3 linked regions of the Struthio camelus genome follow. The protein of the gene in region 2 purifies or fractionates together with the protein of the main gene of each other region. This does not show direct contact. Links are inferred from orthologs where the notes say so. Each region holds a gene or a part of one and is shown on either strand. Other genes may lie near its edges. The genes, in order: WAPL, PDS5A and SMC1A.

Evidence for each region.
Region 1: the proteins of PDS5A (region 2) and WAPL purify together in Homo sapiens (affinity purification with mass spectrometry; 6 studies listed by BioGRID and IntAct, with this or other methods). This does not show direct contact. The link is inferred for Struthio camelus from reciprocal best matches to the Homo sapiens genes PDS5A and WAPL.
Region 3: the proteins of PDS5A (region 2) and SMC1A purify together in Homo sapiens (co-immunoprecipitation; 8 studies listed by BioGRID and IntAct, with this or other methods). This does not show direct contact. The link is inferred for Struthio camelus from reciprocal best matches to the Homo sapiens genes PDS5A and SMC1A.

Annotation. Positions count from the first base shown.
Region 1 is NC_090948.1:33,735,569-33,745,878, forward strand, and holds the start of WAPL (wings apart-like protein homolog), read left to right. Parts: upstream 1-6,287; 5' UTR 6,288-6,559; coding exon 6,560-6,651; intron 6,652-7,508; exon of another isoform or gene 7,509-7,712; intron 7,713-9,319; coding exon 9,320-9,843; intron 9,844-10,310. UniProt on the Homo sapiens protein: Regulator of sister chromatid cohesion in mitosis which negatively regulates cohesin association with chromatin. Involved in both sister chromatid cohesion during interphase and sister-chromatid resolution during early stages of mitosis.
Region 2 is NC_090945.1:61,487,133-61,498,328, forward strand, and holds the start of PDS5A (sister chromatid cohesion protein PDS5 homolog A), read left to right. Parts: upstream 1-6,195; 5' UTR 6,196-6,318; coding exon 6,319-6,335; intron 6,336-11,196. UniProt on the Homo sapiens protein: Probable regulator of sister chromatid cohesion in mitosis which may stabilize cohesin complex association with chromatin. May couple sister chromatid cohesion during mitosis to DNA replication.
Region 3 is NC_090979.1:408,290-418,557, forward strand, and holds the start of SMC1A (structural maintenance of chromosomes protein 1A), read left to right. Parts: upstream 1-5,957; 5' UTR 5,958-6,144; coding exon 6,145-6,253; intron 6,254-7,120; coding exon 7,121-7,309; intron 7,310-7,395; coding exon 7,396-7,508; intron 7,509-7,582; coding exon 7,583-7,786; intron 7,787-7,868; coding exon 7,869-8,107; intron 8,108-8,181; coding exon 8,182-8,440; intron 8,441-8,514; coding exon 8,515-8,655; intron 8,656-8,729; coding exon 8,730-8,812; intron 8,813-9,885; coding exon 9,886-10,093; intron 10,094-10,211; coding exon 10,212-10,268. UniProt on the Homo sapiens protein: Involved in chromosome cohesion during cell cycle and in DNA repair. Central component of cohesin complex. The cohesin complex is required for the cohesion of sister chromatids after DNA replication.

The sequences.
Region 1 (10,310 bases), on a different chromosome or scaffold from region 2:
GTAAATGCACTGCCTGTTCTGTAGTCTTTGAATGTCTCTTGATCCAGTAATGAGTCATTGCTTGATATATCTAAAGAACTAATCAATATGCAGGTTATTTTTTTTTTAGCCTTTTGTTATCTTCTTCAAATATAATTCTGAAATACTCTGTCAGCACTCATTAACGTGCACTTCCGTTGCATGCAGTAGGATGATCTTTGACCGTTACCCAGAGCATGGTAACTTTGTACGTAGGGAACCTTGTTAAATGCAGACAGGACTGCAGAACTGGCACAGTGTATCGGTGCTGGATGTATCAGGCTCTTATGCAAGAGGCAGGAGACATTGCAGCTTCCTTTATGGTACCGCGTGGTAATCTGAATAAAGGAGAAGTAATTTCTTTAGGGCTGTATTCTAGCAGGGAGCTAATGAAGCCCGTAACTGCTATTTTGCTACCCTCCTACCTTTTCATGAGAAAATCTTGATGCAATTTTTTTTTTTTTTTAATTTTATCAGCTTAGTTTGCTTGATAAGTACATTAATTCTCCTGTGAGGCTCAGGGAAACATCTATCCAATCCTCTTTAGTGCTGCAAGGTTTCAGCTGTTCCTGGATTTGCTTTTTTAGTTGTAGTTTACGTTGCTGCTGTTGGTATCATCACATATAACCCTTAAAAGACACGCATACTGCTCTCAGTGCAGCAGTAGCTTAGTTGTTTGACCTAACTTTTCTATGGTTCAATGTTTTGTAACTGCTGCAGAAGTGGTCAGTTACTGGCTGACTTCTACTCTTTCTAAAAAGTAGAAACAAGTACTTGGGAAACACAAAAGTGAAAACAAAAATCTTGTAAATAAAAACTCAGAAGGGGAACTGAGTGATTATAGGATCTGTGTATAAAGAGCCACACAAACTTAATAAAACGAACACTAAGAGGACAAAGGAATATAATGCTCACATATATGCCCTTTCAAACTGGTAAGGGAAGAAAAGTAGGAAAACGAACAACAGACATGGCGCTGGTCCTCTGTTGCTAGAGGAGGAGTAGAACAGGAGAATGAGAGTCCTATCAAAAGAACTCTTTATCAGAAAGAAGATTTGAAACACCAGTTGCTTGTTGCATTTTTGTGTTTTTCACTCCCCAGCAGATATTTTGTCAGACAGTGAGTTTTGGTAGCTTGTATTAAGGGCTGGCATGGTGAAGATAGACATAGATTCAGCATTCAACAATAATGTGCATCATCAAGCTCTCTAAGAAAAGTTGGGGGAGAGGGGAAGGTTGGTGTTGAATTTGGTCCTCTGATAAGGCTGCAGCAGATCTCAGGTATTCGAGAGACTCAGTCCCCTTTTATTCCGTAACAAAACAATGTGAACTTTACCTTACCAAAGAACCTAAGCTTTCTTTGCCTTGAAGGATCACTTCTAAATTAGGCTGCATCCTCACTGCAAGTGAGTTTTTCTCCTGAAACACCTTGACGTGTTGTAAATTCTTTGTGGGAAAAGGCACAGGCAGTTTATTCTCTCAGTGTAGCTTGCCGAGATAAACTCCATAGCGGAATAAAGTTCTGATCGTGACAAAGTACAAGAAGGTCGAGGCTACGTTGTGCTTTTCCCACTAGTATCTCACCACAGGTTTTTCCAGTAGACTTGCAGGCTGTTCACCTAGGGGAAAAAAATTGCACAGAACAAACACCAAGAATTTAGCCGTAGGTGAATGACTACTGTTGGTTTGTCAAGCAGAACTAGTATTTCTAGAGGCTTTTACATAACAGAGATGATGAAGCCTCTCACATGATTGCAACAGATAGGTGTACAGGCTGGAGAGAAGGTGGAGCAGCACAACTTTTTTTTCTGCTGGCTGCCTGGGGCTGATTCATTAGTGCCATGATCCAGAACCCTTTTATCAGCGAGAAGCAGCTCCTAGCTGCGCTTGTATAAGCATTCTTTTGTTTCCCTCAGTGGTGCTTGTTTTAATCTTTCCGTTATTAAACTTAATGCTGGATCTTGGCCACCTCCCATGATGAGAAAGCTACAGTATGATACAAACACTGAAAAATGTGATCCAACACTGTATCAAGCTTCCCCTTTTGGATCTTTTGGAAAGTGGTCGGTCTTCTCAGGGTTCCATGTCAGTAAATAAGCAATATTCTACTCGGGTGAAACACCTTAGTAAGAAAAGCCATTTTATTGACAAAAATCACAGTTCCTTACAAGCTGAGTTGCAAACCTCTCCCTCTCCGCTGGTGTTAAGTGCTGCTTTACGGTCCACTCTGATCCAGCTGCTGGTGTTCTCAGCACGGCGCAAGTGCATTTTTCTACCCACTCCCAGACTACCACTGGTGTTGCTGAACTTCCTCCACCTCGTATTAGCAGTGATACTAGTGTATAAATAACTATTTTCAGAGCTATTTCAGAGAGGTTGACTAAAACATGATAATTAGGTACTTAAGGCATCTATTCACCCTCCTTTCATCTTTGCTATGCAAATAGCAAGGGGAAAATTCCATCCCCCGCCAAGCGAATGGCAGAGCCCTGAGTGCTCTCACCGGGGCATGCTGGGTGACACCTCCTGAAGGACAGGAACGGGAGGAGACTGACATTTTACAAAGAAAAACCAAAACACATGAAATGTTTAACATTTTAAGTGGCACTAATTGGGACATGAAAGCTTTGCAGCAGCTGTGAATGCAGCAGGACATCCTCTTCTCCCCCATCCTTTCCCACCTGGAAGAAAGGCAAGGAAGGAAGGATTGTTGAAAGCTGGGGGGAACATGGGAAGCAAAGAGGGGCTAGGCTGAGACACAGAAGAAGAGGAAAGAGGAGAAGACAGAGAAGAGGACTGAGGGGTTAGTGGGTTTCATGATCCTGAGGAGAGAGGTCTGGATGTTAGGAATAATAGAGCCTTCCTGTGAGTTAATGTTTGCCTTTGGCAAACAGTGTTTAGCAGGGCCTGGGGGCAACGGGTTATTGAGCTCGTTCCCCTTTTATGGGAAAAGGGGGTGCAGGGAGGATGCGTTACGCTGTTAATTCAGATACTTGATATAAAGGATAGTTACTGTTCTGATTTGCATAAAAATCTGCTTGGGAGCCTAACTTTAAGTACACACAACTGTCAAATGCTAGTTTTGGCCATGAAGATAAGCCAAGCACTGAGAAAGCTTTCTGACAGCTTCTAAAAGGACGCTGCTGTCTTCATCTTTCCCCATAGTAACTGCTAACTGGGAACTCTTCCATTTTCCTACTGTGTTGCCTCCATTTTCTTCTGGAGGAAAATGTAAGTTGAAACACTTTTTAAAATCTTGTAATGGCTGCTGAAAGATTGAATCATGTAAATGGCTCCATCCTTGGCTATAACTTATTTTGAAAAGTCTGCACTGTACCCCCATAGAGATCTCAGCATAGAACTTGAGAAACAGAAGTGGGAGGGTTCATCATTATCAGGATGAGATATGTCTGAGTAACTCTTCTGTCCTTACAAGTTTCTTCTTCTGCCCTACTTTTCCCTCTTTTATCTCTAGCCTTGAAGCATTTGAGCTGTGTTTTTCAGTGCTTTCTGACTTTATTACTAGTAATGATGCTTGTTTGGGGGGGGGTATGGAATGTGATAAGAAAGCTGTAGAAGTCTGTCTGTCTGTCTTTCTATTTTAAGACAGGAAATTTGAAGACTTAAGATGGCTGCTTACCTCTCACTATTTTCTTTATGGAGGCGAACGCCAAAATGGAGTGTCCCCTCTGTATCTGTTTTTCTGTAAAGGAAGATGGCAACTATCAGTAATAGAATTCCACAAAAGGAGTAAGATGCCTGTTAAACTCCATCCTTTAGGAGAATTAAACCCACCTACTGCCAAGAGTAGGTGGGATTTGGCTTATATTTGCTCTGTCTTGGTACTTGCATATTTGAGGTAAGCCAGATAAAATAGAAATAGCGAAGATTAACATGCTGTTTGCTAACTTATTAAGGTATTTGGTATAAACATTTTCAAAAGTATCTAGAGTAAGGTAGGTGTTAGAAGAATTGGCCTGTCTCTCCTGTTCTTGAACATGACAATTTGTTAGCTTTCAAATAAGTGAAAGGTTTTATTAGCCTTACAGCCTTCTGCTAATACCAAAAAGAGGATAGTCAGCACATAAGTTAGGTTAAACTTACCCTCTGTTAGTCACGTGAAATTTAAGCGTGACCGTGATGCTGCAGTGCTTTGGATTACTGTATGTGGGGATTCCGCAGAGCGTAGAAATACTGTTGGAGAGACGAAGCTCGCCGGCAGGGGCTAGGGTACGTGAGAGCTTTCAAACAAACTACTACTAGCCAGCGACTGTCACTATCCTGCCAACTCTTCTAAACTGCTGCTGCTTAAGTGACTTGAGTAGCAGTAGCTCAAGCTCTAAAATTTCTATTTTATTTCCAAATACTCCTAGAAAGTATTCTCAAACAGCTTGTTATTAACAGTTTGTTAGCCTTATTCTGGCTATGTTCCTTATGTTTTGTGCCTCTCAGAATAGAGTTGTTTATGCTGTAATGAACTCCACAGAGCCTGACTCCTGTGCTCATTCTGAGTTGTCACAGGACTGTTTTTGGCTCTAACAGAGCAGTTAGTCACCAAATAAGATTTTTGAACTCCTGCAATAGAATGCAAAACTCAGGCTGGTTTAGACATCCATTTTACTCTTGAAGTTTAAACCAGCTAATTAGCAGCTCTGCTAAAAGAATTGTCGTGGGGGCAGGCGGGAGCTGCTCACCCATTTGTATTCAACTTGTGTATTTTAAAATGTATAACCTGTTTTTAATAGCTCTTCAATCACCGAGTCAGGTGGTTAAGATGTAAATAATCTTTTAAACCTTCCTTCAAACAGAATGAGCACCTCTATCATATTGCAAATCAAGCCTGCACTTCTCATCACGAGGCCCTGGTCTACTTTATCTTCGCTTTCTCTTTCTAGTGGCAATTGTATAGTGTCTTTTAAGGAACACGTTTGGAGAGTTTGTTCTCTAAAAATACTACCTGTCAGTACATCAATAGGTGTCAGGTAAAGGCAGAAAGTTGGTTTACTGACAGGATCATTAAACAAAACAAGACTCTGTCACGTCTACTAAAAAAACTATTGAATTTGCGTTGTGTGAAGGAAAGGGAAAAATCGAGGATAAAAGTCATGATTCTTAACTGCAAGTTCGGAGACAACCCTAAGCTCTTCCGTGCAGTGGTGTCAGCGGGTTCCCCCCCTTCTTAATTTCCAGTGTTTGGGGCCTGTATTTTAAACCCTTTCTGCAGCTGGCAGGCTTGCTAGCCGCTCGCTGAGACTGCTGTTAGGCTCCGGGGGGGGGGGGGGTGGTGGTTTCTTCAGAGGAGCGAGCAGCTCGGAAACGACCAAACTCTCGCTGTGGTGGGGGGGAGCATCGGCGCTGTGTTTGTTCCGTGCCGCGGCGGCAGCCGCACGGCCCCCCGCGCCCCGCAGGGCTCCGCGCCGCGCCCGGCCGGGCCGGAGCGACTCGCGAGCCGCCGGCGTCGGACCCCCTCCCCCACCCCGCCAACTACAACTCCCAGCAGGTGCCGCGCGGGGCGGGCGCGGCGGCGCCGGCGCGCGCGGGGCGGGCGCATGCGCGGCGGCGCGGCCGTCGGTTGAGTAAGGCGGGGTGCGATTGGCTGCGGGCGGCGGCCGGGTGCGGGACGCGCAGTGACGGAAGGAGCGGGGGGCAAATGGCGGAGAGATGGTCCCGGGGCCTGTCCCGAGCGCGGCGATAATCCCGGCGCGGAGGAAGCGGCGCCGGAGGAGGCGGCGCCGGGGGCCCTAGCGCCTGCGCCCGCCCGGGAGGCCGCCGCCGCCGCGGGGGGAGGGGCGGAGGCGGGGGAGCCCCGTCGGCGAGCGCCTGTCGCAGGCGGCGGATCGGCGGCCAGGAACCGCGGCGAGAGCCACATCCGTGGCGCCGCCGCAGCGCGCCGGGCCGCGCCGGGCCCCGCCGCCCCCGCTGACGCCGAGGTAGGTGCCGGCGCGGCTGGCGGCGGCCGCCCGAGGCCTGCGCGGGCCGCCGCGGCGGAGCAGGCCCCGGCGGGGCGGCCCCCGGCCCTCTCCCGCTTCCGGGGCGGCGGCGGCGGCGGTAGCGCCCCCCCAGCGGGGAAGGCCGGGGCGGCCGCGGCGGGACTTTGCTCGGGGGCGAAGGGCGGCCGGGCCGGGCCGGAGCCCGCGGCGGGGGGGAGCGGCCGGCGGGGCAGGCTCTGCCCTTGGCAACCGCCTCGCTGGGCCTCGGCCGCCGCGCGGGCCGGGCCGGGCCGGGCCGCGGGGGCTGCTCTGCGGCCCGGCCGGGTTTTCCTCCGCGGCGGGGGAGGGGGCCCGCGCGAAGGGAAATGACATCAGGCGCGGCCGGGCCCGCACGGCGGGGCCACCCGGTTCCGCCAGCACCCGCTGCCACCGGCACCCCCCCGCCCCCCCGCAGGGGGAGGGGAGGCAGAGAGAGAGAGAGGAGGGGAAAAAAAAAAAAGAAACTGTCACCGTGGGATTTCATCAGCTGCTCCTGCCTCCGTGCATTTAACCTATTTTCCTTTCCTTCGATTATGTAAGAGGGGTGGCGTAGCAAGGAGCAGCGAGGAAAGATGACTGATGTGCCTTCTTTACGATTGTCGGTTGTTTATGTCCGGTCGGCCTGGCAGGGTAACTCCGGAGAACACAGGCGGTTTATTTTTCGGTTTGTGCTTGTATTTATCTTTCTTGTCCTACTCCACATACTGCAGCACGAGGTGTGGAAAGGAGAGAGGCAGGGAATGGAAACAGAGTGAAATTGGCCGAGTTTATTATTTTGCCCTGAGTGAAAAAACAAGGGAGAATTGAAAGTGATTAATTAAAAAAGAAAAATCCTTTTCTGTTGATATTCTGATTTAAGGAGGTACATACGTCTGTCCTTATCTTTAATCAGACTTCAAGCTATGCGTTTATAGTATAGGGTACTTATCTTTCCCCAGACACTCATCTTTTAACCTGTTTCCATCACGTAGCATATATATATATTTGAGTATTGGCCGTTTTGTTCAAATCTTCTTTAGAGAAAGCTTTAATTTTTAATCTTGTGAATAGCACGGTCTAGAGTGTAGAGCTCTACTTACTGAAAATGAAGTACTTTTGGCTACAGAAATCTTTTTTTCAAAACTGAACAGCACAAGTCACAGTTTAAGCCTGCCATTATTTTTTGCGGATGCTGAAAGGGCAAACTGTTGGGAATATTTATTTAAGTCAGGGAGAAAAATGTGCTTGTGGTGAGCAAAATGAATTTTTCCTGATAAGAGTTACATAGAAATTCAAATGTTATTAAATAGTTCATTTTTTATAGCTGTAAAAACTGGCCTACTATGAAATATTTTGATTTCTATTACAAGTATTTTCAAGGAGCGGTGAAATAAAACTAGTAAGTTTGATTTGTTTTGCTGTTCATTTTCTAAAATATGTGGGGAGACTGTAGTTTCACTCTTGGATGGAAAATAGGAAATTAGCTAATATCAGGGGAGCAAAAACAGTAGTTTGACGGCCATGTTAGGAGTGCCGCACAGTAGACAGGTGACGCTATGGGAAGAGAGCGCTTGCTGTTTAGTTTAATTCTGAGTAGCAATGAGAAGTCCGCAGAATGGTATTTCATAGCACAGTTCTGGCCAGTACATAAGCATATGCCTTTATCATCCATCTGCTTAACTGCTGGGGAGTTGAATGTTTCCCAGCACGGTTGTTCCTGGATCTTCTGCATTGCAACACCATCTGGTTGGTAAACTTCTGAAACTTATTTTTTAGTTCACCTAGCCCCACAGATGACCCTAGGAATTGCTTGGTTGGTACCATAAGTGAAGCTTGGCCTAGTCTGATAACGGGAGACTATTATTAGTGAGACGATCTTGCTAGGCTGCAGTGATAGAATGACATTTTTGGAAAACAGTCTGGCTTTTTTGGCAGAAGTAAGTCCGGTATTTCAGGTTGAGAAACAGCGTGTATCATGATGAGAACTAAAATATGAAAGACGGACAGTACGCCACCGATTCAGGGGAATAAAAATAGTTTTTTCTAACAAATTTATAGTGTGCTCACAAGTTTATTAATGAAGATTTCAAGCCCTTTTTTTTATACTTTAATATATATGCAAAGGGTTGGCACTTTAAAAGTTGTTTCTTTAATTCTGTAGCTTAAAGGAATTTTTTTCCCTTTTTCCTAACAGTTTTTTTCTACTCTGGAGAGTACTTTCAGACAAAAGAGATGGACTTGGTTAGAGTCATATTGACTATTTAAAAAAAAAAAAATCTACTTTCCTGTTCATGTTAGGGCTGAAAAACTTAATAATAATAGTTAAAAAAAAAAAAAAAGATAGAGATTCTGGTTTGTAAAGTAGATATGTTAGCTCTATGTTCTATATTGTCATTTGTCTAGGAGTCACGGTATTTGTTTTGGCAACAAGAAACAAGCTGCTCTGTCTTCCTTCTTGAATCAAACAAAAGCAGCAATAGAACACACCAAGGGAAGTGTTTAAATGTGTTTCTGTTTAATCTGTTTATATTTAAACTTTACTCTTTTGACAGAGCAAGCTCTGAACTGGGCTACAGCTATAACAGCCAGTAAACAGTGATCATTTGTGTTTGTTTGCAGTAGGTATCCTCCATGTTCTTAGAAACGAATTTAGAAATGTCTGTTCCTGTCCGTTCACCAAATCAAGCCCAGCCATGGGGGGTTGCTGTGTACTGGTTTTGGCCATGACTGTGCAGATGGTATAAGCCACAGGGTATTACCACAAAATATGCTTACTGTGTAAGCCTGAGCTTTTAAGAAAAGCATGAGGTGAAATTGTTATTTGTGACGAATTCGTATTTAAAACATCTATATCAAGTTGGAATATTTTGACAGTCCCTTTAATTTTTAACTACGGAGAGCCTTCTTAAAATGATACTGTGTTATGGGATTCTAGCGGAGTGCTACACGTTCAGATGTGCTGAAAGTATTGTTTTGTTTTTTGCTGATGTTTCATGGAAGCAGTGCCATCTATACTAGGAGATATAAAACTAGAGCAAAGCACATACCAAAAATAATGCACTCATAGCAGATTCTTCTTACAGATTCATTGTGCAATATCTTTATTTTATAAATGTGCAAGTAACTGGATTTCAGGTTAAGTTGATGGATGTGAAACTTGTTGCAGAAAATGTTGACAGATAATGGCGTTCACCTGTGGATGAATTCAGTTAGTCTGTAGAAAGGAACTGATGATGTATCTGTTGTTAATGTGAAGCGTGAATGTCTCGTGCTCATAGGCCCAATAAAGGGTGGAATTGCAATCGTTTGTACTAAAAAGTTAGTAAAGCTGTTTCTTCTTTCTTTTCCAACAGAGAATATGAAACAGGAGCCAAAATGACATCCCGATTTGGAAAGACCTACAGCAGGAAAGGAGGAAATGGCAGTTCAAAGTTTGATGAAGTATTTTCCAACAAACGGACCACCCTTAGTACAAAATGGGGAGAAACCACCTTCATGGCCAAATTAGGACAGAAGAGGCCCAGTGTCAAACCAGATATTTCCGAAGTTCCTAAAAAACCCAAAGTTGAAGATGAGGTAACAGAGGATCCATTTGGATTTGACAGTGATGAAGAGTCTCTTCCCGTGTCTTCAAAGAATGTGTCACAGGCTAAAAGCTCCTCTCAGCTGGAACCCGGTGAAGCTGCTCAGTCTGAGGACTTCACTTCTCTACTTGAAGCTAATAGCAGAATTAATCAGCCAGACAGCGGAGAAAACATTGTGTCCAGCAAGTGCATATCTTTTGATGATACTGTTCCCAGCTTAAAAGAAAAGAGCACAAGCAAAAACGTAGAAGATGGAGAATGCAAAGGCAGCAGTGCTAAACTCGTAACTGCAGGTACATTGACCCAACTGTCTGAATAGTGTTGTTACCCTCTAGTTTTTCAGATCTACGCTGAGGATTAGTGCTTTCTGAGGTTGATTAAATATTCTAATCAAACCTTGGGGCAGCTGATTTTTCATCTCCTTTTAAACTATAAGTGCAACGAAACAATGTATGTCTTGTGTTGGTCTGGGATCCTTGGTACTCGATTCCTTATGTCTGCAAATTCAGATACGGTGCTTTAAATTCAACATAATGCGTTAGCCCACTTTGTGTAGAATGGAATAATTATCTTCCTTTTCTGACGTTTGTTCTGAGCTTTGTGCTTTCATGTCTTTTCAATATGTGGTATCATAAAAAGTGAAGGTTTGGTAATAATGGAATGTAATGTTCTTAAGATACTGACTCTAATTTAGTGTAGGTAAATGGGGATAAGGCTTGCTGCCTGCCTGCTTAATGATTTGTATGGAAAAAGTGGGTGC
Region 2 (11,196 bases):
ACTGTCACACTCCACACCATGCCGTTCCCTTTTAAGCTGGGAAGCTGCTTTTCTTGCAGGCGCTCCTTACAACTGAGCACAAGCTCCCAGAAAGGCTCTCTCTCAAAGACTCGTAGATCTCCTGCCAGCTGCACATGATTAAAGCAGGGAGGTAGGATGAGGAAAGATGGAATACACAACAGTCACTAGAAAGTGCATTTTCCAGCAGCAGGCTCTGCTTGTTAAGGACTACTGCCTTTGTGCTCCTCTTTCACTGTTCTTTCTCCCATTGCTGGACTTTTTTCAGATGAAACTAGAACTACTTCTGACACCTGAGCACTCTTATCACTAGCTTTTCTAAAGTAAGCCAGACAGGTTTTCTATGAGCTATCCCTTTCCTTAAGGTATTCCCACCACGCATCTGTATTCCTCCCATGATTTGCTAAATGCCTCCCCAAGGACTCCAAACACCTTCCTTTCTGCTGTGTGCAGAAGGTCAGGGCTTGGAACATAGTAAACATGGGTGGCCTTGGGATTCTGGAGGCTGCAGATATGCAGCCTGACAGGCTAGAAAAGCAACAGGCAGCTATTTTCTTCGTTTAGGTGGAGAGGCTTGTCTCCTCAAAAAAGACGACGACAGTACCTGCAGTATTTCTTTCCAGCCTTAGGAGAGCCTGGAGACAGCAAGTCCTTTTACAGCTTCCCTCCTTCACTCTTTGGTAGCCTCCCATAGAGCTCAAAGCCCGGCTCCAGTATTCCGTAGCAAGGGTTATCCACACCTTCAAACTCATTTTTAATGAGTGAAACATTTCCACAAGGCAGAGCTCTCAGAGTGCCTGGGCAGCCCACCGGTGCAGATTCCACATAGCTCTGCTGCTTTGCCATGACACACGTCTAGCCCCTAGAGCAATGCAGAAAGCTGGAACTAATGAGATCAGACTAGTGGATATGTTAGTATTTCTGTTGTTTAGCACCTGCAGTTAGTACTACTGCTTAAAATTGTATTTCTGCTCCATGTTATAAAACAGCAAGAGCTCTTTTCTCTTTGCAAAGAGAAAAGAGAACAACTGCCCAACAGAGCTGTGACTTGCTCACACTATGTTTCCAGAGACTCTGTCCAAAAGTCAGGTTAAAAGGCAGTGAATAAAGATAACCCCTCTCTGTAAAATTAGAGCTCTGTCAGAACAATCAGCAGAACAGAATGGCCTTTCACGTATTCTCCAGATGTACATTTGTACCTTTCTCTGAACAGCCTTCTGACAGCAGCACCTGCACCTGTAATTCAAGATCTGCTGTGTCTCTGAAGCATTGGAAATAGTTTGTGGTCTTTTACAAACTGCAACCCTGGCAAGACTTAGCAGAGAAGCTAGGTAATAGGTTAAAGCACAAAACGTTTGAAGCTGATAAAAAAGGAAAAAAATAACATAAAACTCAGCAAGATTTTCCTGATGAGGTTAATTTTAATACTGCTGTATCCTGCTATACTGCCATTTCCTGTTTCTCATTAGGATATACATTTTGTTTTCCGCTTGCTGTGACGGGGACCTGGCCAATGGGTGAGCACTTATTGTAATACCTGGAGGATCAGCAAGAGCGCAGCAGCAAGCGTATGGCAGCATGAGGAGCGGTTCCATCAGAACGGGACGATACTGGAAAAGAGTATTACTGGAGATCACAGGTGATGGTTACTATTACTGGCATATAGAGGCAGGTGGCCTTATGGAGGAATGGAAAAGTGGAACGTACAGAATACATTATTTAGAATTTTCTGTGTTGGCAGCAGTCAGCACGGGCAATCAAACATGAACTCTACTTGCCCAAATTTTGGCTTGCTTTAGCTGCTCATGCAAATGAAGACAAGCTTGCTTTCTTTGTCTAGCTACTGCTGAAACTCTAAACGTGGCTGGGCCTGAAGGGAACTGGCTCTCAATGACTCAGACTCCAGAGCATGAATCTCCAGACCTATGCAGACACCTGGCAAGGCTTCTGCTATATGACCAGGTCCTGGTTCAGGCACTTCCACATATGAAGCCTTCTCCACTCTACAGTCTCCTCCTGCATCTGCTACACAGAACGATCCAAAGCTGGCACTGTCCAGCCAACTTTCTGCAGTATATTCTGTTCCTACCTGAAGGTCTGTTTCAAGTCCTTCAAAAGTCTGCTGTGCAAATAGGGCTGCACCCTGGTGATCCCCAGCTGCCATATCTCTGGTGACGAATCTCTCACAATTCCCAGTTCTGGTAACTCCAAATGAAGGTTTGTTGCACATTGGGATGAAGCTGAAGCACAAGAAATGTTTGGACTTCAGCACAGGCCCAAATACAGAAACAGAAAAAAGATATATTCAGGTTTGCAGAAAGCATTTGCAATAAGAGGTCACAGATGAGAAGAAAATGACTGCTGGAGCATCAGAGCACAATGTGTGCTGGAACATGAGCCAGGTTTTTCACCAAGGTGATATCGAGTTACCGGTGACCTCAGAACAGTAGAGAACACATCAGAAAGCCAGGGATCCAGGTTGGAAAAGGGCATAAAACAGTTTGTAAATTTTGCTGGCGGTCCACACACAACGCCACTCCAAAATATTTTATCACACCAAAATATGCCACAATGAAACCTAATACACTTACCAACTTACACTGATTCAAGTTGCATCATATCAATGCAACTTAAAAAAATGCAAAACAGGAATGATAGTTTGTTCATGCAGATACATCCTAAAATAATGCTAAATATCTGGGGGAATCCACTAGATCAGGTCCTAGGCTGGAAACCACATCATGCGAATCTATCAGTAGAATATTATCTACTTCATGTGTTTAAATTCACTCCCTTTTCTGAGGCCACTAGGCCAACTGAACATAGCACATACACAGCTATTACACTAAAAAAAAAAAAAACTTAATGTAAACCACAGATAGATGACCTCATCCAGATCCAGGTACATCAATGAAAAATGGCATTGCCTCCAAATTACTGTCAATATCTATTTCAACAAGACTTAACCCTATTAATTTACCTCCAGAAAGCAATACACAAGTTCACCTCACATGATTTAAAAGAAAAGACGAGAGAGCAGAGGAGAGAGAGCAGAGGAGAGAGAGCAGAGGAGAGAGAGCAGAGGAGAGAGAGCAGAGGAGAGAGAGCAGAGGAGAGAGAGAAAAGAAAAAGGTCAGCCAGCTCAGCTTAAATAGCTGTAAATGCTGGTTTTAACTAATAACATTTTTGAATGGAATGTGGATCATTTACATAAACCATCCTGCTGATAGATCAAAATCCCCAGTGGAGTCATGAGAAGAAACAGCTGGAGAGCTTAACCTCTTCCACAAGCACAGCTGGATTCAGGAGAAAACATGGCCTTATTTAATTCTGAGAGGTAGTGTAACATAACACTTAATGGCCCTACTGACATTTTTATAGTAGCAAAGCCTCTGTAGTTTAGACAAAGGCAGCAACTTCCTAAAACTCAGGATTAATAATCTACAACTTTTACTGGAGCTAACTACACATAGAAAAAGTCTATTCAAAACAGAAACATGACTGATTATTTCAGTCATTTAGTGTAGACTACAGATCAGCACACAGGGAGGAGTCAAAGACAACAGGCCATGACACACCTCAGAACTACAACCATCCTACATGCCTATTACAACATCTTCATACAGTAACCCAAGACAACATAATTCTCTTTTTTAAATTGGACAAGGTCACAGCTAATGATCCACCTACACCACACAGTGAAACAGTTGTGAATATGCCATAGATGTTCCCTAAAACCATGCCCAGGCTAACATTTTTGTCACCTCTATTGCACTTTTGCATTTGCAACACTAAGAATCTGGCTTCTCTCCCACATTAGTGCTCTCCTTAGATGAAACGTACTAGCGTTAATACAACAGAGGGAGACTTCTTAAAGAAATCGAGTGTAAACAAAGGCATGAAAAGCACAGGAAAATACCACACTAAAAAAAAAGAACACAAATGAAGAAAGCCTATAAAGGAAAGCATTCTTAAGATGTGCTTGGATGCTGTTAGATTTCCTTTGTAGGCTCTACACACGGGTATAACCTACAGCAAGACAAACTACTGCAACTTAAAAGCACTACAAACACGTGACACAAGCTAGCCCTACCCTAGTAATGGTGACTACACCCCAGGTAAAGCGGGGCTAGAACTGTCGTGATTTCAAATACTCTGGATGTCTCTGCTACTCTGTAATTTGCTTCAGGTTTGTGTCTTAAGCTTATACTCTCCAATCATATCCCAAGTCCTATTGTATAAAGCTTTTACTTCAGTAGCCAATCCTGAAGCTAGGATTTGCCACTCAGTAAAGGTGAAACGGCTGAGGAGCAACTTCATCATCATCTTTGTTCTTTTGCTTCACCTGAAACCTCTTCCAAACAACTTGCGTAGGATTTGTGCTTAAGTTCCGTATGAATTATTGTCGTATTTTAACCACAAGGTCCCACCAAAAGCCTCATAAGACTTGAGACACATACTAAACTTTGTCAAGAGAGTAAAACGTTCCCGGAGTCAGCGTTCAAATCGTTATTAGTTCGGGACAAGAGTTAAGGGCGTACTGCTCTTCAGTATGTTTTCTTCCCTCCCCTCTGAAGCCCCTACGACCTTAGGGCACTCGATTAGCAGAACTGCAGAATACGTGCAGAACATCTCCCAAAGCATACGTGAACACTACGCTGCAACTTTGGAAACGTGCTTCTTTCAGCAGTTTTAGACCGTTCAAAATAAAAGCCTTAAAGCAGTAAAAATCTTTTGATTTCGTTTTGAAGGAAACTTCGTAAACGGCCCACTTAACTCACTGGGTTCTGCTCTCTGAGAAGCAGAGTAGGGACACCGTCCTCGACACGGCTGCTCAGGGCGAGCGGCGCGGCGTTTCCCCCGGTTTCAGAGCGGCGGCTCTTTCCACAGGGGGCTCCGGGGCTGCTGGTGCCGCCGGGCGGCAACCAGCCCCCTCGGAGGCCGCTGGGGAGGAGGAGGAGGAGGAGGAGGAGGAGGAGGGAGGGAGAACGACTCGGGCGTTTCCGAGAGAAAACCGGTCGCCGCGGCCGCCGCCTACGCAGTTACAGGCCGGGCAGAGCCGCAGCGAGGCAGCGGCGGGGGCGGCGTGACCAGTTCGCCCCCCGCACGCACGCACACACGCACGCAGCGAGGGCCGGGGCAGACCCACAGCCCTTCACCGGGCCCGCGCGAGGCGGGCAGCCCAGCGGCAAGGCCGGCCCGAGGCCCCCGCGCAGCGCAGGGCCCAGCCCCAGCCCCGCCATTCACGGCCCGCGCTCCCCGGCCTGCCTCCCTCCCCCGCTGCGGGCCGGGGGCGGCGGCGCAGGGGGCGGCTCCCGCGAGCCGGGCCGGGCCCCCTCCCCGCCGAGGCAGGTGGCTGGCGACGGGCCGCCCGCAGGGCCGAGCCCCTCGGCTCGCGGGAGCACCCGCCCCGCTCCCTCCCCTCCCGTGACGCCGGGGACCGGCCTGCCGGCGCCGCCCGCGCTCGCTCGGCAGCCGCCGAGGGGCGCGGGCCGCCTCCCCGCGCCCGCCGCCGACATGGCGGGCCGCCGCCGGGCCGCGGGCTAGGCCTCGCTGGCGCCGCCGCCGGGCCGCCTCGTCCTCCGCCAGCCCCGCGCCCTATGGGGAGGAGGGGGAGGACGAGGCTCGTGCCCGGCTCCTGCCGCTTCTCGCCGGACGCGGCCGGCCTTTACCGTGTCTCGCCGTGTCCCTGGCCCTCGGCTCCCTCGCTTCTGGCGGCGGCGGCGGCTGCCGCTCGGGGAGGAGCAGGGACCGGGGAGCGGCGCGGCGGCGGCCGGCGAGAGGGGGAGCGGCGGAGCGTGCGCCGCGGGGACACAGTGCCGCTCTCCGTCCGGCCGGGGAAGAACAGCCCGGGAGGAGGCTCCGCGCCCGCTCCCGGCCCCCTCCCCTCCCTCCCTCCGCCCGCCGCGCCGCGCCGCCCAGGCCGGCCGCCGGCCGCCCGCCCCGGCCCTGGCCCCGGCCCCCGCCTCGGGGCCGCTGCCAGCCCGGCTCGGCCCGGGCGGTGGTGCAGGCGGCGGCCTCACTCTAAAGGAAGTCGTTTGGGAAGGAAAACAAGCGATTTAGGAAGGGGCGGGAGGCAGGGGAGTGAAGTCCTGCGCCATGAAAGGCAGGCCGTGTTTAGTCTGCGGGCTGGCTAATTGCCGTCCTTGTCTCTGGATGGTTGCGCTTAACCGCCCTTTTCACGTCGTTAGCGATAAAACTGGCCGCTGGCTTCGCGTCTTAATCTTTGAAAAAAGGAACTGTATGCTGCACTGCTGTGGCAGAATCTGTGTTGAGAGATAGACTTTGCTTAGAAAGGGCATGACGACAGGATGCAGGTGGGTGCAGCGGAGAACTGCAGGTCGAGGACAGCAGGGTAGTTACGGCTATCAGCCGCGTAGCGACTGGTGGGCTTTGGATCAGTAATGAAAAGGAAGGGTGTTCCGTGTCTAGTGCCGCTGCCCTGTGTTACTAGCAGTTTATAACGTGGCAGCAGAAGAGTTCTGAGCGCGGTCTAGAACGAGGCTGATTCTGGGGCAGAAACTAGCGTTTCCGCGGCCGTCACGGGATCGGCGGTGTTCGTGAAGGAGCAGGAGGAGAGCGGAGGGGTCTGGCGCCTGCCGCGGGGTGGAGGAGGGAGCGGCAGCGCCGGGCGAGAGAAGGAGTACCGCGTTAGCGGAGGGTTTCGTTAGAGAGACGTTTACTTCTGCAACAAGCAATGAGCACTTGACAGATGGACAGTCATGCAAAAGAGGGTATAATAAACAGATTTTATTTACGTGTATGAGTAATATATATATGTATAGTATCATATATAAAAAACCGGAAGAATCCTGATCAACCTTACCCATTAGCTGATTTCCAAGAACCGCACTTACATGTATAGCCATAGGCCTCCTTGAAAGCTCTGTCTCGCTGCCTGGGCCAGCCAGATAATAGGGCAGGGTCTCAACTGCTTATCTTCCTGCTTTTCACTTGGCTCCAGGAGGATGATGATTTTTTCTCACATCCCTCCTTTGTGCCTCCATTGTCTCGAGAGACCTCCCCTTCCATCTGTATTCAACCATCTCCCATCGTGGCACAATACCGCAGGAGGAAGTTAGCTGGAGATGTCACACTGCGATTTTCCTAGTGAACAGAAGCTTCTTCTCTTGTGAAAGAAGAGAATCATTTCTTCCCCAAAGGGAGTAATATTGTCTCCCATCACGATCTTCACTTGCATTGTAATTCATCCAATTCAGAGAACAAGGTGGTTTTCTCCCAGCCTAATTTCTCTTTCATTTTCCTTCGAAGAGGGAAACAAGAAGTGGCCTTTAACAGACAGCTTACACTGAAGCGCTACTTATTTAGCACCTAAGCTTACATCCTTCATCACAAGAAAGATCAGGAAAAGTCACTGCCAGTTTTGTGTCGCAGTGACTCCTGCTCCCGCAGCTGCTTCCTTTTGCAGTCTCGCTATTGTTTCACTTCACTGTCAGGGCTGACCTGTTTGCATTAGAGCTGCAACTTTAATGTGAATAAAGAACCAGAAAGTACAAAAATAATTGATAGTTTTAAGACGAACTAATTATGGGGTGGCTCACTTGTGAAACTGCAGAAGGGTGCTCAAAGTAACTTGATCACAATCCCCAACTGCCTTCCATCTGATAGCAGAGTAAGTGAAAAGCAAATCATTTTTGTCTCCAGGATTGCATGTGTTCTTGCAATACAAATAATGTTAACATTCTGAAAATGGTATTAAAAGCATTTAGTATGATTTAGGAATGAAATTGATTTAGGCATTGTTAATTTGCCAGTCACTCTGGTATTTCAGTGGTTATCTTGTAGTTATATGGTATGCTACATTTAAATAAATAAGACCAAACATTTACATTTCTAATACAATACTTAAAAGCATTCAGTCCACAGAATGTGCTGGTAGGTTTAAAAAAGAAAAAAAAAGACTCTGCTATGACTCAGTGAAGTAAAATAAGAAATTCTTCAATATACTAATATTATAAATGTCCAAAAATATGGAGGAGAACAAATATTGATCAGAATTTGTGTGTTTGGTGCCAAGTGGTGTTTTCATGCATGTACAAGGAAGCGTTTGCTTAATTTTTTCAGTATCTGGACAAGTATCAGAAACAAAATCTTTTCTCTTTAAGGGCGTGATGCTGGTAACGTGTTAATCATACGTTTGGAAAGATAGGTCATGTAAATTCCAGTCTAATGACTTTGTCTTTATATTTTTAAGTTGCCAAAAAAGAGGAAGAGAAAGGTTTTTAGCATGCTTGAATCTGATAGCCTCCATTGAACTGCATTGCTAGTGGGGTGTTGCTGCTGGCACTTCATGCATGAAAGTATGTTGTTCTTTGCCAGTTGTACACATTACAGTATTTGACACCATGAAAATGCCAGACTAATTTGGGTACTGGCAGATTTCTCACTACTTCAGTTAACACTTTAAATAGGAGGGATATTGGCATCTAGATAGTTGAAAGAACCTCTGGTACAGTGAGTGATTATAATTATCTGTATTCCTTTTTTTTATTTTCACACAACTATTTTCAAACAACACAGTAATCACCTATTATCTGTTAATTTTTTTTCATTCCTTTGTCTCTCCTTATGTCTACAGTTGGCTTGTTTTACTTGGAATGGCTTGAACATACAGCATGTAATCTGTGCTGTTTGGCACAAGTGTTTAGTCTGGTCTTCGGTGAATACTTTCATGACAGATTTTTCCATTTCAGTTTCTGCAATGCTGCCTCTTCAAATAAAAACATTTTACTGTGTTCTTGCTTATCTTATAGTTCACATTAAAATATTATTACCAAAGATGAGCCATAAAAACAAGAAAATGACAATCACTTTTACTGTTTTTGATTATATACAGCCTACTAAGACCACTCAGCAAATTTGCACCTGCTTTCTTTCTATGCAAAAACAATTTGCAGCTTAAAGTTTGAGTAACATTATGGTATATTAAGATAGACATATTTATCTTTGTCAGGTTTAAAGACAGTTTTATTTCTACTTGCAATAGCATATTGAATTTGCAATAATATATAGTATAGGAAAACATCTGAGAAATAGGGTACGTTAAAATATAAATAATGCTACCTGACAAATTTGTCACGCCTGACAAATTCATGCCTGCCTTCAGTAATCTAAAACAAGTTATCTTTCAAGGAACTTGAGGCATAATCTTCATCCTTATTGAGAGTTTCACTTTGGACAACTAATCAGAGCCCTAAATTGTAGTGATATTTTCCAGCCCTATAGAGTACAGAGGTGAAAAGAGCCCACATCTATTTCCCTCAGTAAACTTTGTGATACAATGTTGATTCAGTCCCTCCATGCCATAACCCTTCCTCTTTTTTATGGAGCCTTTCATTCTGTCCTCAGCTTTAGCTTTTATTCACCATTGAGGGAAAAGAAATGTGTGTTAACTGACACTTTTTTCTTTTTTTTTTTTAAATGGCATTTTACCCTAATGCTCTTTTAAGATGTCTTACTTGGCTATCGGAATCTCTGTATCTCCAGTTATCACTGTTTTGTCCAGGATATTGTACTTTGTGTTCCTACAGAAATAACTCCCCCCTCAGCCTGAATTAGATTCACAGAATCACAGAATCACAGAATCACAGAATGCTTGAGGTTGGAAGGGACCTCTGGAGATCATCTAGTCCAACCCGCTCTGCTCAGAGTCCTCTAGAGCACATTGCCCAGTACTCCGGAGGTAGAAATTTAATTCTTTAATTCTTTAGGTAAAAAAAGTGAAAAGGGGAAGAGGAGAAGGAGGGACAGAAGGGAGGGGGGATATATTTATATATTCTTGAAATTTTGGAAAGGGGATGGGGAGAGAACAGAGATGATGACAACAAATGATGTAATCCAAGAGGTAAAGAATTATACTTAATTGTGTCTTCTCTGCAGGCAAGAAATGAGATCATGCTTATATGCCTGACAGAAACCCTGCTGCCACAAGGACAGAATTTGAAATAAGTTTGCACTTCAGTTTTGATTTGTGGTGAATCTCATTCATGTGTTGGATGTTCTCTGCTATGCTGCTTTTATCAATCTGATATGTCAAATTTCATAGAAATCAAAAATCCATCCTGCTCTGTTGAGTCTGGAAAGAGGAAAAACAAACTGTGCTTAATATTTCTGCCTTGCACATGACAAGAAGTAATAAGCTGACTTTCATTGTAACTGCCATGTGTTTTTATCTGTTGAATATCACTGTCTATTTTTAAAAAAGGCATTGAACTTATCCTATAGAAGATTTAATATTAGACATCTTAGAGATCTATGTATTTAAGGGCATTGTCTAAAAATTAAATCTAGGAGTAAAATAGTATATTTGTATATTAAAAAAATCAGATTTCGTTTATATTACTGCAATAATTAAACCAAGGTTAATGGAAAAAAAGAGTAATGTTTGGCATTTCTATAACTTATACCAACCCAGAAGGGTCTTATAAATGAATATACCAAGGAGATCCATTTCAAGCATCAGTCACTGAGGCCACCTCTCACACAAAGTGCAACAGCTGTTTAACTACACCATATGGTACCAGAGGGTAGGTTAAGAGACGTGAATGTAACATCCAGCTGAAACCATAGGAACTCTGTATGTAGAATGCTGTTATCTCAATTGGAATTTGACCAGGATAGGAAAGTTTACTTACTGTTTTTAGAAAACAATTCTGTTTTATGCTGACCAAGCAAGAGAATATTTCCAACAATACAACTAATGGCCTCCATTCATTGGTAAAGTCAGAGCTGTAGGAACAAACCTGCCCCAGGACACAAAACCTTCAGGTCTCCAATGTGCAAGGTAACTGCCAAGGTAACTGAAGGTCAGCTAAGGCAGTTGTGGCAAGATGACGGCAAGTCATAACTGCAGAAGACATTGCTCTGAACTGGAACTGGGCTAAATTTTTTCTAGGTTAAGACAGAACTAACGTAATTCAAGAAGTTGCAATGTGTGATTTTAAGTATTCGTTTTCTTGGGCAGCTGAGTTTCTGGGATATCTTATTCACAGTCAGGCCCCCCATATGAGTGATACCTACTGAATCCTAATCATCCCATCTTGGGCCTTGTCTTAATTAAGGAGAAAGTGGGGTGAAGGTAGAAAGGGAAAGAATCTTGTTGCTTTCAGTGGGAACAATGTAATACACAGTATTGGAGAGTTAAAGTAATCTTATGTT
Region 3 (10,268 bases), on a different chromosome or scaffold from region 2:
GGGACGGCGACGGGGCCGACGGCGGGGCGCTGGCCCTGGGGGGGGGCGGCGGGGGCGGCGGCGCCGCGGGACGGGGCGCTGGCGGCGGCCGAGGTGGCCGTGCTGGCGGCCGTGCTGGCGCTGGCGCTGGGCGGCAACGGGCTGGTGCTGGCGGCCCTGGGCCGGGCCGGGGGGCCGCGGCCGGCCCCGCCGCTCCGCCGCTACCTGCGGCACCTGAGCGCCGCCGACCTGGGGGTGGCCGGGGGCCAGGTGCTGCCCCAGCTCCTCTGGGACCTCACCGACCGCTTCCGGGGCCCCGACGCCCTCTGCCGCGCCACCAAGTACCTCCAGGCCGTGGCCATGTTCGCCTCGGCCTACGTGGCCGTGGCCATGGCCTACGACCGCCACCGGGCCATCTGCCGGCCCTGGGCCGCCCGCCGGCGCCGCCGCGGCGCCTGCTGCCGGCGCTGCCCTCGCCGGGGCCCCGCCGACGCACCCGGGCCGCACCGGCACCCGCCGGCGGCACGGGGCCGCACCGGGCACGCCCGGGAGGTCCCCAGGGGACACGGGGACACCAGGGACACCCGGGAGGTCCCCAGGGGACACCGGGATCCGCCTCGGGGACACGGGGACACCAGGGACCTCCAGGAGGTCCCCACGGGACACCAGGATCCACCTTGGGGACACGGGGACACCAGGGACCTCCAGGAGGTCCCCAAGAGACACCAAGACCCACCTTGGGCACGTGGGGACACCACGGACCTCCAGGAGGTCCCCAGGGGACACCGGGACCCGCCTCGGGGACACGGGGACACCAGGGACCTCCAGGAGGTCCCCAGGGGACACCGGGACCCGCCTCGGGGACACGGGGACACCAGGGATGTCCATGAGGTCCCCAGGGGACACCGGGACCCGCCTCGGGGACACGGGGACACCAGGGACCTCCAGGAGGTCCCCAGGGGACACCGGGACCCGCCTCGGGGACACGGGGACACCAGGGATGTCCAGGAGGTCCCCAGGGAACAAGGGGACCCACCTCGGGGACACGGGGACACCAGGGACCTCCAGGAGGTCCCCACGGGACACCAGGATCCACCTTGGGGACACGGGGACACCAGGGACCTCCAGGAGGTCCCCAAGAGACACCAAGACCCACCTTGGGCACGTGGGGACACCACGGACCTCCAGGAGGTCCCCAGGGGACACCGGGATCCACCTTGGGCACGTGGGGACACCACGGACCTCCAGGAGGTCCCCAAGAGACACCAAGACCCACCTCAGGCACGTGGGGACACCAGGGACCTCCAGGAGGTCCCCAGGGGACGATGGGACCCACCTTGGGGACATGGGGACACCAGAGATGTCTATGAGGTCCCCAAGGGACACCAGGACCTGCCTTGGGGATATGGGGACACCAGGGATGTCCAGAACATCCCCAAGAGACACCAGGACCTGCCTTGGGGACATGGGGACACCAGGGACCTCCAGGAGGTCCCCAAGAGACACCAGGACCCACCTTGGGGACATGGGGACACCAGGGACCTCCAGGAGGTCCCCAAGAGACACCAGGATCCACCTTGGGGACATGGGGACACCAGGGACCTCCAGGAGGTCCCCAAGAGACACCAGGATCCACCTTGGGGACACAGGGACACAAAGGATGTCCATGACGTCCCCAGGGGACAATGGGACCCACCTTGTGGACATGGGGACACCAGGGATGTCCATGAGGTCCCCAAGGGACACCAGGACCTGCCTTGGGGACATGGGGACACCAGGGACCTCCAGGAGGTCCCCAGGGGACAACGGGACCTGCCATGGGGACATGGGGACACCAGGGACCTCCAGGAGGTCCCCAGGGGACACCAGGGCTCTAGGGATGCCCAGGACTTCTACTGGGGACCCAGGGACACGAAGGACGCCCGGGACATTCCCCAGGGACACCAGGACCCCCCTTGGGGACATGGGGACACCAGGGATCCCCAGGACCCGTGGGGACCCCGGGGACCCCGGGGGCCGCTGGCCGCCGCCTGGCGCAGGGTGACCCGGGGTCCCCAGGCTGCCCAGAGCCTCCTGTCCCCAGGTCCTGGTGCCACCGCGTCCCCACTGTCCCCAGGTCTCCAGCCCCCTCCGTCCCCCCCTGTTCCCCCCGTGTCCCTGGGTCCCCTTCCTCTGCCACCTCGTGCCACCCCCCTGTCCCCAGGTGCTGGTGCCACCCCTGGGTCCCCCCATGTGTCCCCCACGTCCTTGTTGTCCCCAGGTCTCCCTGCCACCTCCAGGTCTCCTCCTGTGTCCACCATATCTCTGTTGTCCCCAGGTCCTTCTGCCACCCCTGGGTCGCCCACGTCCCCAGGTCCTGGTGCCACCCTTGGGTCCCTCCCTGTGCCCCCCGTGTCCCCCATGTCCTCAGGTCCTGGTGCCACCTCCAGGTCGCTCCCTGTGCCCCCCATGCCCCCCATGTCCTCAGGTCCTTCTGCCACCCCTGGGTCCCCCATGTCCCTAGGTCCTTCTGCCACCTCCATGTCCCCAGGTGCTGGTGCCACCCCTGTGCCCCCCATGTCCCCCATGTCCCCAACTCCTGGTGCCACCCCCACGTCCCCCACGTCCCCAAGTGCTGGTGCCACCCCCATGTCCCCCATGTCCCCCACGTCCCCAGGTCCTTCTGCCACCCCCGGGTCCCCCACGTCCCCAGGTCCTTCTGCCATCCCCACGTCCCCAGGTGCTGGTGCCACCCCCACGTCCCCCACGTCCCCCACGTCCCCAGGTGCTGGTGCCACCCGAGGGCCTCCCGCCCGGCCGGTTCCCCCCGGGCACCCGGAGCAGCAGGCGCGCCGGGGCGGCGGGTGCCCGGCGGCGGCCTGGGCGGTGGCCTCGGCGGTGGCCTCGGCGTGGCGGGAGCTGCGGGGGCGCTGGGGGCCGCTGGCCACGGCCTGGGGGCTGGCGCTGCTCTTCGGGCTGCCCCAGGTGGCCATCTTCGGGCAGCGGGAGGTGGCGGCGGGCGAGCGGGACTGCTGGGCCGTCTTCGTCCGGCCCTGGGGCGCCCGGGCCTACGTCACCTGGGTGGCGCTGGCCGTGCTGGTGGCCCCGGCCGCCCTGCTGGCCGGGCTGCTGGCGGCGGTGGCCCGGGCGGTGGGCCGGCGGCGGGCGGTCGCCGGGCTGGGCCGGGCCCGGGCCAAGAGCCACCGCATGGCGCTGGTGGTGCTGGCCGTCTACGTGGGCTGCTGGGCCCCTTTCTTCTGCGCCCAGCTGTGGGCCGTCTGGGACCCCCGGGCCCCCGTCGAGGGTGAGCGCCCGGGGACGGGGACGGGGGGGACCTGGGGGGACCTGGGGGACCTGGGGAACATGGGGGAGATGGGGGATGTGGAGGGACATGATGGAGATGGAGGCACATGGAGGGTCATGGAGGACATGGGGGGGACATGAGGGGACATGGGGGGACATGGAGGGACATGGGGGACATGGGGGGAACATGAGGGGACATGGGGGGACATGGAGGGTCACGGGGGGACACGGGGGACATGGGGGGACATGGAGGGACATGGAGGGACACGGAGGGACACGGAGGGACATGGGGGACATGGGGGGACATGGAGGGACATGGAGGGACATGGGGGACATGGGGGGGACATGAGGGGACATGGGGGGACATGGGGGGACATGGAGGGTCACGGGGGGACACGGGGGACACGGGGGGACATGGAGGGACATGGGGGACATGGTGGGACACGGTGGGACATGGGGAGACATGGGGGACATGGGGGGACACGGGGGACATGGGGGACATGGGGAGACATGGGGGACATGGAGGGACATGGAGGGACATGGGGGGACATGGGACATGGGGGGACATGGGGGACATGGAGGGACATGGAGGGACACGGAGGGACACAGAGGGACACGGAGGGACATGGGGGGACACGGAGGGACATGGGGGGACATGGGGGACATGGGGGACATGGAGGGACACGGAGGGACACGGAGGGACACGGAGGACATGGGGGACATGGAGGGACATGGAGGGACACGGAGGGACATGAGGGGACACGGAGAACATGTTTGGCCGCGGGTGGCCGCGGTGGCCGCAGCGGTGGCCGCGGCGGCGCTGACGGCGGCGGTGGCCCGCAGGCCCGGCCTTCACCATCCTCATGCTGCTGGCCAGCCTCAACAGCTGCACCAACCCCTGGATCTACGCCGCCTTCAGCACCAGCCTGTCGCGCGCCATGGCCCGCCTGCTGTGCCCCTGCCGCCGCCCCCGCTGACCCCCCGGCCACCACCGCGGCCACCGCGGCCACCACGGCCACCATCACGGCCACCATGGCCACCACCGCAGCCCCCGCCCCGGCCACCATGGCCACCATCGCAGCCACCACGACAGCCACCATGGTCACCACGGCCACCGTGGCCACCACCACGGCCACCACAGCCACCACCATGGCCATCACCATGGTCACCACGGTCACCACGGCCACCACCGCAGCCACCGCCACGGCCACCATGGCCTCCACGACAGCCACCATGGCCACCACAACCACCACCACGGCCACCACGGCCACCACCATGGCCACCATGGCCACCATTGCAGCCACCACGACCACCACCACAGCCACCACAGCCACCACGGCCACCACCATGGCCACCACGGCCACCACCACGGCCACCACGACCACCACCGCAGTCACCATGGCCACCACAGCCACCACCACAGCCACCATGGCCACCACCGCAGCCACCACGGCCACCACCACAGCCACCACGACCACCACCACGGCCACCATGGCCACCACCATGGCCACCACGACCACCACCGCAGCCACCACGACCACCACCGCAGTCACCATGGCCACCACGGCCACCACCGCAGCCACCACGACCACCACAGCCACCACCATGGCCACCACGGCCACCACCACAGCCACCACGACCACCACCACGGCCACCACGGCCACCACCACAGCCACCACAACCACCACAGCCACCACCATGGCCACCATGGCCACCATTGCAGCCACCACGACCACCACCGCAGCCACCACGACCACCACGGCCACCACCATGGCCACCATGGCCACCATTGCAGCCACCACGACCACCACCGCAGCCACCACGACCACCACCACGGCCACCACAGCCACCACGGCCACCACCATGGCCACCACGGCCACCACCACGGCCACCACGACCACCACCGCAGCCACCACGACCACCACCACAGCCACCACGACCACCACCGCAGCCACCACGACCACCACAGCCACCACCATGGCCACCATGGCCACCACCATGGCCACCACGACCACCACCGCAGCCACCATGACCACCACAGCCACCACCATGGCCACCACGGCCACCACCGCAGCCACCACGACCACCACCGCAGTCACCATGGCCACCACAGCCACCACCACAGCCACCATGGCCACCACCGCAGCCACCACGACCACCACCACGGCCACCACGACCACCACAGCCACCACCATGGCCACCACGACCACCACCGCAGCCACCACGACCACCACCACGGCCACCATGGCCACCGCGGCCACCGGGGCCGCTCGCACGAGGGGGCGGGGCTTGCACGGGCCCGCATCGCACCAATAAACATGGCTCAACCCGTAGGCCTCTGCCCCTCGACCTTTGCCCTTTGCCCCCCTGACCTTTGCCCTTTGCCCCCTCCCCCGACGTTCCCCCTCGGCCCGGCGCCCTCCCGTTGCCATGGAGACGCGCTCCCCCCTCCCCTCTCCCAACCCGGGCCCCGCCCCATGCAAATGAGCACCCCCCGCGCGGCCAATCCGCCTGCGCCGGGGGCGGGGCTCCGTATGCAAACCGCGCCGCCGCTCTCCCCCCCCCCCCGCCTCCACCCGACGGCTGACGCGGCGCGAGGGGCGGGGCGGCGGGGGGAGAGCGGCGGCGGCGGGAGCCTATCAGCGCCCGCGCGGCGCGGCGGCGGCGGCCAATGGCGTAGCGGGTGCGAGGTGGTGGGAGGGGGAGGGGGGGAGGAGCGGGTGTTCTCGCGAGAGCGCGGCGCGGGGCGGTGCCGGCCTTGGCGCGCGCGCGCGCGGCTGCCGCGGTCCCCGTGTCCCCCCCCGGCTGCCGTAGCCGCCCCGTTTCCCGCCCTCCGGGCTCCCGTAGCGGCCCGGTTCCCCGCCGGCTCCCGCCGCCGCCATCATGGGCTTCCTCAAGCTCATCGAGATCGAGAACTTCAAGTCCTACAAGGGGCGGCAGATCATCGGGCCCTTCCGCCGCTTCACCGCCATCATCGGCCCCAACGGCTCCGGTGAGACCCCCGCCCTCCGCTATCCCGTGGTGCTTTGCGCCCGCTCCCAGGACGCTCCGCGTGCCCCGGCGGTGGCCCGGCTGCCCCCGCTATCCCACAATGCACCTGCAGCCTCGCCCTCTCGCCTCGGCCTTCCCAGGATGCACCGCGGGGCCCTTCGAGTGTCCCAGGATGCTCTGTGGGCCTGTTTGGGCATCCCAGGATGCACCGCGGGGTGCTGCGGGCATCCCATGATGCCCTGTGGGCCCCTTCGGCCTTCCCAGGATGCACTGCGGGGCCTTTCAGGTGTCCCATGATGCCTTGCGGGGCCCTTCGGCCTTCCCAGGATGCACCGCAGGGTGCTGCGGGCATCCCATGATGCCCTGTGGGCCCCTTCGGCCTTCCCAGGATGCACCGGGGAGCCTTTCAGGTGTCCCATGATGCTTTGTGGGGCCCTTCGGCCTTCCCAGGATGCACTGCGGGGCCTTTCAGGCGTCCCATGATGCCTTGCGGGGCCCTTCGGCCTTCCCAGGATGCACCGGGGAGCCTTTCAGGTGTCCCATGATGCCTTGCGGGGCCCTTTGGTCCTCCCAGGATGCACTGTGGGGCCTTTCAGGTGTCCCATGATGCCTTGCGGGGCCCTTTGGTCCTCCCAGGATGCACTGTGGGGCCTTTCAGGCATCCCATGATGCCTTGTGGGCCCCTTCGGCCTTCCCACGATGCACCGGGGAGCCTTTCAGGTGTCCCATGATGCCTTGCGGGGCCCTTCGGCCTTCCCAGGATGCACCGCGCTCTCGCTCGTCCCGCGGCGCAGGGGCCCGGCTGCCCCCTGCTCTCCCACAATGCCGTGCGCCGCCTCCCCCCCACCCCCCCCCTCACTTCCCGCAGGCAAGTCGAACCTGATGGACGCCATCAGCTTCGTGCTGGGCGAGAAGACGAGCAACCTGCGGGTGAAGACGCTGCGGGACCTGATCCACGGGGCGCCCGTGGGCAAGCCGGCCGCCAGCCGGGCCTTCGTCAGCATGGTGTACTCGGAGGAGGGCGCCGAGGACCGCACCTTCGCCCGCGTCATCGTGGGTGCGTGGGGGGCGCCGGGTGGGGGGGACGGACGGACGGACGGACGGACGCCGGGCCGCCCTCACCGCCGCCCGCCGCCGCCGCAGGCAGCTCCTCCGAGTACAAGATCAACAACCGGGTGGTGCAGCTGAGCGAGTACAGCGAGGAGCTGGAGAAGCTCGGCATCCTCATCAAGGCCAGGAACTTCCTCGTCTTCCAGGTGGGGGGTGGGGGGGGCAGGGGGTCCCGGCCGGGCTGGGGCGGGGGGGTCCCGGCGCTGACGCCCCGCCGCAGGGCGCCGTGGAGTCCATCGCCATGAAGAACCCCAAGGAGCGCACGGCGCTCTTCGAGGAGATCAGCCGCTCGGGGGAGCTGGCGCAGGAGTACGACAAGCGCAAGAAGGAGATGGTGAAGGCGGAGGAGGACACGCAGTTCAACTACCACCGCAAGAAGAACATCGCCGCCGAGCGCAAGGAGGCCAAGCAGGAGAAGGAGGAGGTGGGGCGGCGGCGGCGGGGTGGGGGGCGGCGGGGCGCGTCGCGCCGGCGGGGTCCCCACGGCCGTTTCTCGCCCCCGCCAGGCGGACCGGTACCAGCGGCTGAAGGACGAGGTGGTGCGGGCCCAGGTGCAGCTGCAGCTCTTCAAGCTCTACCACAACGAGGCCGAGATCGAGAAGCTCAACAAGGAGCTGGGCCTGAAGAACCGGGAGATCGACAAGGACAAGAAGCGCATGGACCGGGTGGAGGACGAGCTCAAGGACCGCAAGAAGGAGCTGGGCAAGATGATGCGGGAGCAGCAGCAGATCGAGAAGGAGATCAAGTAGGTGGCGGGGCCGGGAGGCGCCGGGGGCGAGCCCGGCCCCGGGGCCGCCCTCAGCCCGCCCTCGCCCCAAGGGAGAAGGACTCGGAGCTGAACCAGAAGCGGCCGCAGTACATCAAGGCCAAGGAGAACACGTCGCACAAGATCAAGAAGCTGGAGGCGGCCAAGAAGTCGCTGCAGAACGCGCAGAAGCAGTACAAGAAGCGCAAGGGCGACATGGACGAGCTGGAGAAGGAGATGCTCTCGGTGGAGAAGGCCCGGCAGGAGTTCGAGGAGCGCATGGAGGAGGAGAGCCAGAGCCAGGGCCGCGACCTCACGCTGGAGGAGAACCAGGTGGGGCCGGGGCCGGGGCCGGGCGGCTCGGGGCGCCGCCGGGGCCGCCGCTGAGCCGCCGCGCCGCCCCCCAGGTGAAGAAGTACCACCGGCTGAAGGAGGAGGCCAGCAAGCGGGCCGCCACGCTGGCCCAGGAGCTCGAGAAGTTCAACCGCGACCAGAAGGCCGACCAGGACCGGCTGGACCTGGAGGAGAGGAAGAAAGTGGAGACGGAGGTGAGTGGGGCTCCCCGGCCCCGCCGCGGGCGCTCCCGCCCCCCGCGGCCGCCCCTCACCCCCCTCCGCCCCAGGCCAAGATCAAGCAGAAGCTGCGGGAGATCGAGGAGAACCAGAAGCGCATCGAGAAGCTGGAGGAGTACATCGCCACCAGCAAGTGAGCGGTCGTCCCCGAGGCGTCTGCCTCCCCGCGTCCCCATCTCGGCGTCCCTGGGGTGGTCCCTGCGGTGTCCCCCGTCCCCCTGTCCCCGTCTGTGTGTCCTTGGAGCGGTCCCTGAGCTGTTCTTTGCCCTCCCGTCCCCATCTGTGTGCTCCTAGGGTGGTCCTTGAGGTGTCCCCCATCCCCCTGTCCCCATCTGTGTGCTCCTAGGGTGGTCCTTGAGGTGTCCCCCATTCCCCTGTCCCCATCTGTGTGCTCCTAGGGTGGTCCTTGAGGTGTCCCCCATCCCCCTGTCCCCATCTGTGTGCTCCTAGGGTGGTCCTTGAGGTGTCCCCCATCCCCCTGTCCCCATCTGTGCGCTCCTAGGGTGGTCCTTGAGGTGTCCCCCATCCCCCTGTCCCCATCTGTGTGCTCCTAGGGTGGTTCCTGAGGTGTCCCCCATCCCCCGTCCCCATCTCTGCGCTCCTAGGCTGGTCCTTGAGGTGTCCCCCATCCCCCTGTCCCCATCTGTGTGCTCCTAGGCTGGTCCTTGAGGTGTCCCCCGTCCCCGTGTCCCCATCTCTGTGCTCCTAGGGTGGTCCTTGAGGTGTCCCCCATCCCCCTGTCCCCATCTGTGTGCTCCTAGGGTGGTTCCTGAGGTGTCCCCCATTCCCCTGTCCCCATCTGTGTGCTCCTAGGATGGTTCCTGAGATGTCCCCCATCCCCCTGTCCCCATCTGTGTGCTCCTAGGGTGGTTCCTGAGGTGTCCCCCATCCCCCTGTCCCCATCTGTGTGCTCCTAGGATGGTTCCTGAGATGTCCCCCATCCCCCTGTCCCCATCTGTGTGCTCCTAGGGTGGTTCCTGAGGTGTCCCCTGTCCCCATCTCTGCGGTCTTGAGGTGTCCCCCGTCCCCGTGTCCCCAGCTCTGTGCTCCTGGGGAGGTCCTTGAGGCATCCCCCATCCCTGTGCCCCACACCTGTGCCCCCTAGGGCCGTCCCCGAGGTGTCCCTGCGCCCCCAGGGGGCTGCCCTAGGGCTCGGGTGCCCCCCGTGCCCGGGCAGCCCCCGAGGTGCCCCCCGCGCGCCCGCAGGCAGTCGCTGGAGGAGCAGAAGCGCCTGGAGGGCGAGCTGACGGAGGAGGTGGAGCTGGCCAAGCGCCGCATCGACGAGATCAACAAGGAGCTCAACCAGGTGATGGAGCAGCTGGGGGACGCCCGCATCGACCGCCAGGAGAGCAGCCGCCAGCAGCGCAAGGCCGAGATCATGGACAGCATCAAGCGCCTCTACCCCGGCTCCGTGGTGCGGCCGCGAGCCCCGGGGCTCCCCCGGCCCCGGAGCTTGCCCCCCAACCTGCCTGCCTGGCCCCCAAACGTGCCCCCCACCCCGGGCCCGCTGACCCCCCGCCGCCTCCCCCCAGTACGGGCGCCTCATCGACCTGTGCCAGCCCACGCAGAAGAAGTACCAGATCGCCGTG